3 linked regions of the Canis lupus familiaris genome follow. The protein of the gene in region 3 purifies or fractionates together with the protein of the main gene of each other region. This does not show direct contact. Links are inferred from orthologs where the notes say so. Each region holds a gene or a part of one and is shown on either strand. Other genes may lie near its edges. The genes, in order: HMGXB4, SMARCA1 and BPTF.

Region 1 (3,656 bases), on a different chromosome or scaffold from region 3:
TACCTGTTTGAATCACAGGGGGAGAAACATTGTGAGTTGTGCAAGATGTTAAAATTTGAAGTGAACCTGATTCACTTCTTTCTGAGAGTGAACAACTCAACCCAGAAAAGTTGTATCATCAGCTATCAGAAACCACATACGTGGAGAAGTACACATATGTTTACGTTAAATGTTAGCATGTAGGGCTGTAGAACTCTCATAGTTAGCACATTTGAGCTATATTCGTGGAGTTGCACACATGACCTCCACAAATCTTCCCAGGAGCTTTCCAGAGTAGATTGATTTAAGTCATAACCCTTCGTTGCACAGAGGGTAAGATGAGTTAGGAACATAGAAAAGGAACCTGGGAAGGTATTGTAAAAGTTTTCTTTTTAAAGGATTCACAGAGTTATCAAAGCAGATAACTTCCATTTCTGCTGCAAATTGCAGAGAACTAGCAAGACTTAAAAAACAATGTGAAGAAACCAACTCGATCAGGAGTGGGACTCGAGTTACAACCTGCTGTCTCTTCCTGCTCTCCTTTCAGGGCATGGTGGCTGTGTCTGGCAGTTTGTCAGTGCTTCTGGATTCCATTATCTGTGCGCTTGGACCCTTGGCGTGTCTGACCACACAACTACCTGAACTGAACGGCTGTCCCAAACAGGTCTTGGTGAGTTTTCCTTGTTTTCCTTGGATTTTTTTCAGCCAGACCCCTTGGGAGCCGTCGAGGCCCTACCTTAACGAGCTCTATCAGGCACAGGCTTGTAAGGCTTCCCGGCAGATGGCGCCCCCTCTGTATATTGGCCCACGAATGTGGTACTGTACAGTGCCCTCAGTGCAACTAGAAAACAGGCCATTTCCCAAAACAGTCCAGCCCTTAGGGAGCTGCAGCTCCTCTGGTGCCTATCTTCTCCTCTACCCAAAGAAAGTACACAAGTCTTCTGCATCTCCACAAGGGTTCATGGGAAGAGCCAGCAGAGAAGCTCCTAGCATAGTAGACAGCAGTGTGCCAGCTTTTAGCTCACACTGCTCTCTCCAACTCTCAACTCCCTCCTCTGAACAGAGAACTAGGCCTCAGGGAACTAAGGGTAAAGTACTCTTCAGCTAAACCTTTTCCCTTGTTTTGCAGTCAAACACACTAGACAACATTGCTTACATCATGCCTGGACTGTGACCACAAAGAGTCCCGGGACAGAGACCTTATCGTCCTCCATTGCTGGTTTGTGTATATATGACTGTTCCAGATCCTTCACTGGCCTCTGGGTGTAGGTTTTAAATTTTTATATATATACATATAAATATATATATATATATATATATATATAAAGTGTACAATATATACATAGGACTGTAATTACTTTGCTTTTAATAATTTTATGAAATGGCAAAGGTTTAGCCAAGAAGAAACCTTGGCATGAATATGGGCTTGGGATTCCTTTTTCTCCTGTGGTGGATAAATCTGCCTTAAAAATCAATGTAACTTAGGGGCTGGGGGCTTGTTCAGGGTGCCAAGGGCATCTCTTTATGGACAGCTAAAATGTGATTTTTTTCCAAACTCAGTTGTACCTCCAGACCCATCACTGACCATTTGCCTTACCTGTCTTACAGTCGGAAATGTAATAGGAAAGATTATGGGAAGATGCCAGTTGAGTGAACGTACAAAGCCTTTCAACTTGAAGTGACCTAGGTAGGAAGTGATGAAATCATTCCCATCTTACAGTTACTGCAGTGGCTTAGGTGAACTTCGTAGGGGGTTCATTCCAATTCCTGCTATACCGGTGTCCATGTCTCAAAATTTCTTGTAATCATTGGTACCATTAGCAGCCTCAGTAGGGGCCAAGGAGTTATGTGAGCCCCAGCAGCATAAAACACCTTGGAGAGTGTAAAGCTGTTACTGCACAAATTGAACTGCATATATTGTGAGCTGACCCAGAATATTTCATCTGTAGAGCTAACTGCTGGTATCTTCCATCGGCAGCATTAGCTTAGGCACGGAGTCCTCACAGGTTTTTGCTGCTTAGTTGCTTGATGGTTGGGAAAGATGAACTTTGCCCAGCATGATTCTTGGGTTCATCCTGTTGGCTCGCCTGGTGGGCAGATAGATACCCAGTGTTCTGCATTCCACACATAAGTGAATTGCAAAAAAAGTACTCGATTCTCATGTAGGTTTATTTATGTGTGCGTGTGAATGTGTGTTTTAATTATGTGTATTTAACTCTTTAAAATCTCTTTGATTTTAATTTATCCTGTAAATTTCTGTATATATAATTTAATAACAAAAGCCTCCACCAGCAACAGCATGTGGAAGATACAGATTTGTCATTTCTTGCCTCCTCCTTTCCTCTGGTCTCCTCTGAAAACTCCAAATCATCTACATTTTAAGGTATCGTGCCTCAAAAAGGAATCATTATGCCGGGATTCTAATTCTTTCTAATTCAATAATGTCAAGAAAGCAAAATTAAAAGGAATGTTACCATTCCCAACTCCCCACTTTTCCAAAGAACCAGACTTGTGTTTCCCAGTTCCAAAGAAGACAGTTGAGCACTTCAGGGTTGTTTTTCAATTTGGTGTGAGATTCCCTGCCAAAACCGAGCTCTGGTAACTGCTTTCTTCCCCTGGCCTAGACAGAGCACTACCATGTCAAAGTAGATCTTTGAGTACTGAGCAGCCAGCCTGCACCTGACTTAACCCCTTCCCTTCTCCCCACCAGTGTGCTCATGGGGCTTTGTTTCCTGAAGGTACTCTGGCTGCTGACTGGCCCTTAGCTCAGAGCAGTCATGAAGCTTAACTGGGGAAACAGAAGGAAACGGGTATGTTTGGGAACCAAAATCAAGAAGGAGCAGAAAACTGGATTTGATTTCGCTTGTTAGACCCTGTGCCACACCTCATCTGTACCAATGGAAGTTTCCTGTTTGACCCAGGGTCTATCAGGGAGGGGCCTGGAAGACATGGATTAGCATGGAAGAAGTCAGTCCTACCCTTGTCATTTGTGCACATTAATGAAATCCTGATGAGGACCTGCTTTCTGTTTGTTTGTTTTCCTTTCAAACCCAACCCTACTGTATTTGTATTTAAATTTGTACACATTTGTATAATAATCTGTACCTTGTGGTATTTGGTACTATTAGAGGAAAAACTTTGGATTCAGACCTTCTTGGAGTTTTTATATCATTGTTTTATTTTGTTTTTTAAATAAATTCTAGCGGTTTGATCCAAATCCCATTACAGTTGTATAAAGAAATAAAATTTTGTACTTATATTATTAAAAATCACATTTTTAATATTTGTAGTCCAGTCTCAGGTATCTTTTCCCTGTTGCTGACCAAGTTGCTGTGAAATACTAAAACCTGTCATTTTCTACTGATATCCCACTGCGATTTTCTTAAAAAGAAAAATCTGTCTGGAATGAGGCCAAGTTTCTGATCTTAGCCATTTTCCTTTTTAAAAAAAAAAAAGATTTTATGTATTTATTCATGAGAGACACACACAGAGAGAGAGACAGAGACACACAGGCAGAGGGAGAAGCAGGCTCCATGCAGGGAGCCCGATGTGGGGACTGGATCCTCGGATTCCAGGATCACACCCTGGGCCAAAGGCAGGCGCCAAACCACTGAGCCACCCAGGGACCCCCTTAGCCATTTTCCTAACGTACATCTTGCTCTGTCTCTATTAACTTT
Region 2 (3,656 bases), on a different chromosome or scaffold from region 3:
AGTTCATATCTTAGCTTTCATTTTAACTAGACTTCTATGCCTTGGGATCTTTCAAAACTAGTGAATTTGGTTAACTCAAAAGAGAAATTAACAGGTAGTTGGAACTGATCTTTTTTTTGAGGGGTTGTTTTTGCAGGAACATTATAAAAATAAGTAGAGATGAAGGATATTTTTTAGTTGTTCATAGTGATTTTACCAAACTCCCTGCCTAAATGTCTAAGGTCACATCTAACGTAGACAGTTAATGTTTTAACAACTCTAAAAACAACATTCCAGTGAGGATAACATAAAATGGAAAGGTTTTGGCCTCCTTCCAGCTTCTGGTCTGAATATATTTGTCTAATTCTTGTGTTTATGTTAATGAACCCTTGTACATTTCTGGTGTTATTAATTATGCATCCTTCATTAGCAATCAAATATTCTCTACCCTGTGGTCAGAAAGTGATTGGGAATTAAAAAATCATTCTCATTTTTTTAAATCTAAAATGATGTATATATCTTTTGACCTTCTAAGGTTTTATAGTGAAGTTTTATTTTATTATTATGGTACAAGTTATATGCCCTTTTACAATTTATTGAGAAATTATTATATGTGCTGCCGAAGTGAGCAGAATTGAGAAATTATAATACATACCAATTTTTAGTAGTTAATATATATTAACTATTATACTTATATGTGTATGTGTATGTTTTTCCCCCAAATCCTGCTTGCTTTGAAGACAAACTTTTTATGTTATTAGCATAAGGTGCAGTTTTCCAGGGGCACCTGGGTGGCTCAGTCAGTTAAGCATCTGACTTTGCCTGACATCATGATATTGGGGCCTAGGGATCAAGCCCCATATTGGGCTCTTTGCTTGGCAGGGATTATGCAAGTCCCTCTGCCCCTCTCCCCACTCTTGTGTGCTCTTTCTCTCTCAAATAAGTAAAATCTTTTTAAAACGTGTGATTTGGGATGCCTGGGTGACTCAGCGGTTGAGCATCTGCCTTTGGCTCAGGGGTCCCAGATTGAGTCCCGCATCAGGCTCCTTGCAGGGAGCCTGTTTCTCCCTCTGCCTGTGTCTCTATCTCTGTGTGTCTCTCATGAATAAAAATCTTTAAATAAATAAAAAAGTGCAATTTTCCAGATCATTGTAATTGAAGAGAGAAATATTTATTACATTATTGTACCATGCATTGACAATATTTATAGACAAGAAGACACTGTATTCTAAGGTGTTAATTGTATCTAGATGCAATTTGAAAAGTCTAAGAGTTCAGTTAATGGTATATGTATATCATAGCTAATAATTTATATTTCTGTATTTAGGATATATCGTATGTTATGATGCTTTATTTTGTTCACTTGGGAGAAGAAAATCATTACATTTTACTTATTTATTTAAAGATTTATTTATTTATTCATGAGAGACACACAGAGAGAGGCAGAAACACAGGCAAAGGGAGAAGCAGGCTCTTCGCAGGAGCCTGATGCGGCGGGACTTGATCCCGGATCCTGGGATCACGACCTGAGCCGAAGACAGCCGTCTAACCGCTGAGCCATCCAGGCATCTCTAAATCATTACGTTTTAGAAAAAGTTTTTGCTTTTTGACCCTGACTCTTTAAGCAGGGTACTTCTTGTTGGGGCATTTACTACTGTTAGATCATTTGGCTTCTATTCAAATTATCTGAAAATGCCATTTTTGAATTCTGCTGTTTACTAGCTATGGGAATTTGGACAAGTTAGTTACTCTCTCCATATTTTACTTTTATCATCTGTAAAATGTAGATAATATTAGTACCTACCTCATAAGTTTATTAAGACCATTAAATGAGTTAATATGTTGAAAGTGTTGAGAACATAGTACAAAGTAAGGGCAATATAAGTATTTGTTAAATAACTTTGAGTAAAAAAGAAAATCATTATTTTTTCTTTTGTTTTGTATGTTAGAAAGCAGACCGAGCAAAGAGATTTGAATTTTTATTAAAGCAGACAGAACTTTTTGCACATTTTATTCAACCTTCAGCACAGAAATCTCCAACCTCTCCTCTGAACATGAAGTTGGGACGTCCTCGAATAAAGAAAGATGACAAGCAAAGCTTAATTTCTGCTGGAGAGTATGTTGGCATCTCTCTCTACTTTATTCCCTCTTTTTTCCCTCCCTTCCTTCTGTCCCCACTTCTCCCTCTCCTCTCATTCCCTCTTTGCTTACTGAGTATAATTTTGTATTAAAAATGGGGTTATTGTCAATGTAAATAAGTTTTGGAGGCAACAATTTTTTCTCACTAGGAATCAGTAAAAATGCAGGCTGGTTCTACCAACTTCTAAGCAAGACCTTAGATAACTCATTTTTTTCATGACAGATATACTGACTTAATTGATAGCTTAGTATTTGAGTTGAGTATAAAGATATTTCTTTTCAATTCAGCTACCGTCACAGGCGCACAGAACAAGAAGAAGATGAAGAGCTCCTCTCAGAGAGTCGGAAAACATCTAATGTCTGTGTTAGATTCGAGGTATCACCTTCATGTAAGTATCTCATTGCGTTGGTGTTTTTTTTCAATTAGGTTTTAGAAAAATATTCTTGATTGTATTTAACAAAAGTATGAAACGTCTTGATCTCTTTTTCAGATGTGAAAGGAGGACCACTGAGAGATTATCAGATTCGAGGGCTGAACTGGTTGATCTCTCTGTATGAAAATGGAGTCAATGGTATCTTGGCAGATGAAATGGTAAGGAGTTGATAGCTAAAAACACAATCTTAGTAATGATTTTTATGTAAATTTGAAATACCTGAGCTGTATTGCCTTAGGCTTAGAGTCTAATTGCTTTATTTAGTTAGAATGTAAAGGGCATTTGTAAACTCTAGAACTGTTTCTTTAAATAACCTTGAGAACATATACTTTCACAGGCTACAAAATTCTTAGTGTGATTTGCTTATAGGTTTAAAAAACCTCCCTGTAATTTTGATTTTGTTTGCACTTTGGCTTCCAGGAAACTCAGAGCCAGAATTAATGCCAAAATCGAGCCCCTGTGGAATGTAATGGCAGGCCCATTGTGTCTTTTGTGCCTTTTTCTATTCTATATCTTCTAATCTTTTCTTGGCCCTTCTTTATTTCTATTTTACCATTAATTTATCTTCCATGTTTTCATTGTAGGCTACCTGAAACATATTTTCTTTGTAGGTGACCTGAAATCCTTTTGGTAGTAAAGTGGGGGTATATAAAGTAAATACTAAATGTGTGAATGAATAAATCGAACAATAAATGATGAAAGCATGAATCAATGAATGTAAGAACCTCAATGCGTGAGCAGTCAGAAAGTGAATAGATAGAATAATGAAAAAAAGTAAAGAGCAATGTTGAGTCCTGATGTAGCATAGTGCCAGATAGAGCCTGAGAAGTAAGCTAAGGAATGATGGTCATATAAATAAAATGACCAAAGAAAGAAAGAAAGGCTATTTAAGATGCTGATTCCACCAGATCAGGGAGTATATGAAGGCTTAGATTGGTATTTTAAGACCAAATGAATAAGATAGGATTTAAGAGAGGGCAGGGGGGCAGTTCTAGATCTTTATGACCCAGTGATATTCATATTTATGTGACTCTGGAGCCATATTTGCTATCACTCTTACCCAGAAGAGCCACATGACTATTTATGTTCTATAACATGTAGTGT
Region 3 (3,656 bases):
TTCTTGTTTAATCAGAATGTTTTCATTTATACCAGGTTTGGAAACAAAAAGGAGAGGAATACAGAGTAACAGGATATGGTGGTTGGAGCTGGATTAGTAAAACTCATGTTTATAGGTTTGTTCCTAAGTTGCCAGGCAATACTAATGTGAATTACAGAAAATCATTAGAAGGAAGTAAGTAATTGAAGTTATTTTTTCTATATCATAATTTCTGATTTTGTACTATTTCTTATAAATTTGTAGTGCATTGACCATATTTTTGGATAAAAGTATTTTTCTGGAATTTTTAATAGAACATGCAAAACTACCGATGTAGCTTATTTATTAATAAGAAGCTCAAATACTTTAAATTACTTTTTTTTTCAGGATATTTATAACTAGGATTTCAATTAAAGAAAGATGATAGAATAGAACTTCCTAAAAAAAAGAAAAAGAAAAAAGGCCTCAGCACCTAATTGTTTTTCTACAATCTTAAATTCAGTATTACTTGACTTCCTAAGGAACCACCTATCTGGTAATCTTGATGTTGTAGCACATTACAAAACCAGAAAGGAGGTGATAGAGACTTCTGTAAACACTTCCACATAAATGAGGGAGATATTAACTCCATTTGTGCTACTCGCTAACAACTAATATATTTAGAGTCACAGAATTCTAGAGGGGAACTGCCCTATTAAGACACCATCTGTTTTGAAACTCACATTCCATGAGTAGATTATTTCATGAAGATGTGAAGTTATGTACAGTTCACACAGATAGAACTCTGGAATCTGTCTCCTCGCTCCCACTGTCCCTCCCACTGTCCTTTTTTGCACTCTACATTGCCATCACTTTTTTGTTACCTGGTTATTTTCAAAAGCAGTTCTGCTCACTGTGCAGTGTAATTTGCTAACGTATGGTGTGATGTGTTCTTTCCTATGAAGTCTACGCTATAGTGAGTACTGTGTACATACCTAGCTAACTAATTTGGCTTCTTCGTGAATGGTTCTGCTGAATCCTGGACTGGTTGAGATATTTGAAATTATTGATGTGATAAAGTTATCATTTTGGATTACCTTTTTAATGGAAAAATACTTATTATTTCATAACTGTCACTGGAATTTATAGGGACTAGGAATGTCTTGCACATAATAGATGCTCAGTGAATTGTTCTATTTGCCAACTAGAACTATTCAATATTAAATTTTATTATTGTGATCTGATTATATTCAAGCCAAATGTCCACTATAATAAATTCTAAAAGATTAACATTTTTTATTGCCATTTTGTTGCTCCAGCTACCCACATAGCACATAGAATTATAGAGAGCTTTTGTTTAATTATATCTGACTTATTTTGTCTTGTGTAATAAAATCCAGATTATCAATAAGCAAAATATTTAGGTTTTTGCAGATTTATCTCATATCCACTTTCCTTAGCATACTGTTTCTATTGTCCAAATTCTGGGCCTTTATCCAGTCAGGTACCAAGTTGGTCTTACAACATCTTTTGAGCCCTTTTCCTCTCCAGTGGTAGCAATGCATGTGTTAGTATAGAATAAGAATTACAGTGAAGGCATTAGTATTCGTAACCACCAGTTTATAATCTCAGAACTATTGGTCCCTATAATAATGATTAACCTAATCTGATCATATGACAGAGGCACAGATGTGCTGGAGAAAACAGAAATGCGTTTCAGGGAACCTTGACTTAGCATCAGAAGACTAGAGTGTTCAGCTTGTTTGACTGCGTCACTTATTTCTAACCTCCATTCTAACTCAGACTGAATGCCTTAGCTTATTAGTTTACAAGTGTCAATAAAGGTACTGATGTGCAAGATTAACAAAGGATATTAATTGTCTTTATGTCTAGAAGATCTTTAATGGAGAAGACATCCCAAGTATTTTATAATTGTCTATTTTAAGCATCTGGGTTCTTAAAACTTTTAGGTGGAACTACTATTATATAAAGCTCTTTTTGAGAAACTTGAAATCATTGAAAAAATATTGCCCAGTTGTTCTGAAATAACTAAAGAAGCATTGAATAAGGAGAGTATCAGTTTACTTTTTGTCCTTTTGTTACTTGTGGGGTCCAGACACATCCTATCACTGTTTTCTATGATTCGTTTCTTCTCTCCCCAGTATCCTACTGTCTTGACAGATACCAAGTTTTTTGCACTCTTTTCCCTTCCCTCAGCTAGATCTTTCTGGAAGGAGTCATTTGTTTAAATAAGAAGTAGGTACACATTGCTAAGTCCTTGGAATATTTGGGATCAAGTGAAGAGAATAATAAAAGGTAGAAAATGCCTGTAAGGCCCAAGAAAATTCACCTGGACAATAGTTCTGTATCATGGGCTTGATTTTTTTTTTTTTTTACCTTACGGAAAATTTGAAACTACACGAAAGTAAAAAAGCATCATCTTTCTGTCATTCTCCTATTAGTTGTAATAATCTACTTTTTTTCTGGAGTTTTTTTCCCCCCCTATGTATTTAGAGCAAATTCCAGAAATTATGTTATCTACCAGTTCAGCATATATCTCTGATTGGAGTGGTTATTCCATAAATTATGCCATTACCATTCAACGCACTAACAATATTTAACATGTCCATCTTGAGATTCTCAGTTACTATTCTAGTTACCCCAGTTGTGCCAGAGATGCCCTTTTAATGTTGGTAGTAAATCAGGTCCAGACAAGGCCAAACATTGCATTTGGTTATTTCTCTGAAGTCTCTTTTAATCTATGATAAATACAGTGATTCCCTACCCAGAAAAAAAAAAGTATACAAACAAACCTTTGTAATTAATTTCACTGGCTCTTAGATAGCCTTGAAGTCTATCCATGGACTCTGGGTGAAAAATACTTAAGTATTTATTTTCCTAATATGGTTCTTTAATATAAAGTATGTTAGAAACACTGATGTAGACTTTGTGGAGTCATTGAGCAGCTGAAATAGTGTCATATATGAAAGATCCTGAAGTACATCTAAAATGTGCTCATTCCTCTTATGCTTTAGGTCAGTTGAGCATGTTAGGAAAGTATATACTATCTTCAGGTTTTATATTTTTTTAATAGAAAACAGTATAGATTGCTAGAAATATAATTTCCACTGAACTAGATTTGTTAAAGCAGATTGCTAATGTTCAGAATACCTATAATTATATATATATACACACACTCAATTCTTTTTAGCCAAAAATAATGTGGATGAAAATATGGATGAATCAGATAGACGAAAAAGTCCACGGAGTCCAAAAAAAATAAAAACAGAGCCTGATTCTGAGAAAGGCGAGGTAAAAGATTCAGATGCTGCAAAAGGGGCAGACCAAAGTGAAATGGACGTTTCCAAGATTACTGAGAAGAAGGACCAAGGTAAGGAGAGTCCGGTGTGGAGGGCAGCCTGGGGGTGATAAGATTGTAATGGATCTGGTTCGCACAGCAGGAGAGGTACTGCCTTATGTTTCTTTAATAGCAGCTTTATTGAATCACAGCTCATTTACTATATAACTAACCCATTTAGAATGTACAGTGGTTTTTAGTATTTCACAGAGCTGTTCAGCTGTCACCACAGTCCATTTTAGAACATTTTCACCACCCCAAAAATAAACTTCATACTCCTTAGTACCCAGTTTCTAATCCTCCCTAAATCCCCCCAGCCTACTAGTCTACTTACTGTCTC

The links.
Region 1: the proteins of BPTF (region 3) and HMGXB4 fractionate together in Homo sapiens (co-fractionation; 3 studies listed by BioGRID, with this or other methods). This does not show direct contact. The link is inferred for Canis lupus familiaris from reciprocal best matches to the Homo sapiens genes BPTF and HMGXB4.
Region 2: the proteins of BPTF (region 3) and SMARCA1 purify together in Homo sapiens (affinity purification with mass spectrometry; 4 studies listed by BioGRID and IntAct, with this or other methods). This does not show direct contact. The link is inferred for Canis lupus familiaris from reciprocal best matches to the Homo sapiens genes BPTF and SMARCA1.

What each region holds. Positions count from the first base shown.
Region 1 is NC_049231.1:29,825,069-29,828,724, reverse strand, and holds the end of HMGXB4 (HMG domain-containing protein 4), read left to right. Parts: intron 1-526; coding exon 527-649; intron 650-1,108; coding exon 1,109-1,153; 3' UTR 1,154-1,244; intron 1,245-1,587; 3' UTR 1,588-3,268; downstream 3,269-3,656. UniProt on the Homo sapiens protein: Negatively regulates Wnt/beta-catenin signaling during development.
Region 2 is NC_049260.1:101,628,174-101,631,829, reverse strand, and holds part of SMARCA1 (probable global transcription activator SNF2L1), read left to right. Parts: intron 1-1,928; coding exon 1,929-2,095; intron 2,096-2,406; coding exon 2,407-2,507; intron 2,508-2,609; coding exon 2,610-2,710; intron 2,711-3,656.
Region 3 is NC_049230.1:14,276,227-14,279,882, forward strand, and holds part of BPTF (nucleosome-remodeling factor subunit BPTF), read left to right. Parts: intron 1-35; coding exon 36-174; intron 175-3,169; coding exon 3,170-3,349; intron 3,350-3,656. UniProt on the Homo sapiens protein: Regulatory subunit of the ATP-dependent NURF-1 and NURF-5 ISWI chromatin remodeling complexes, which form ordered nucleosome arrays on chromatin and facilitate access to DNA during DNA-templated processes such as DNA replication, transcription, and repair.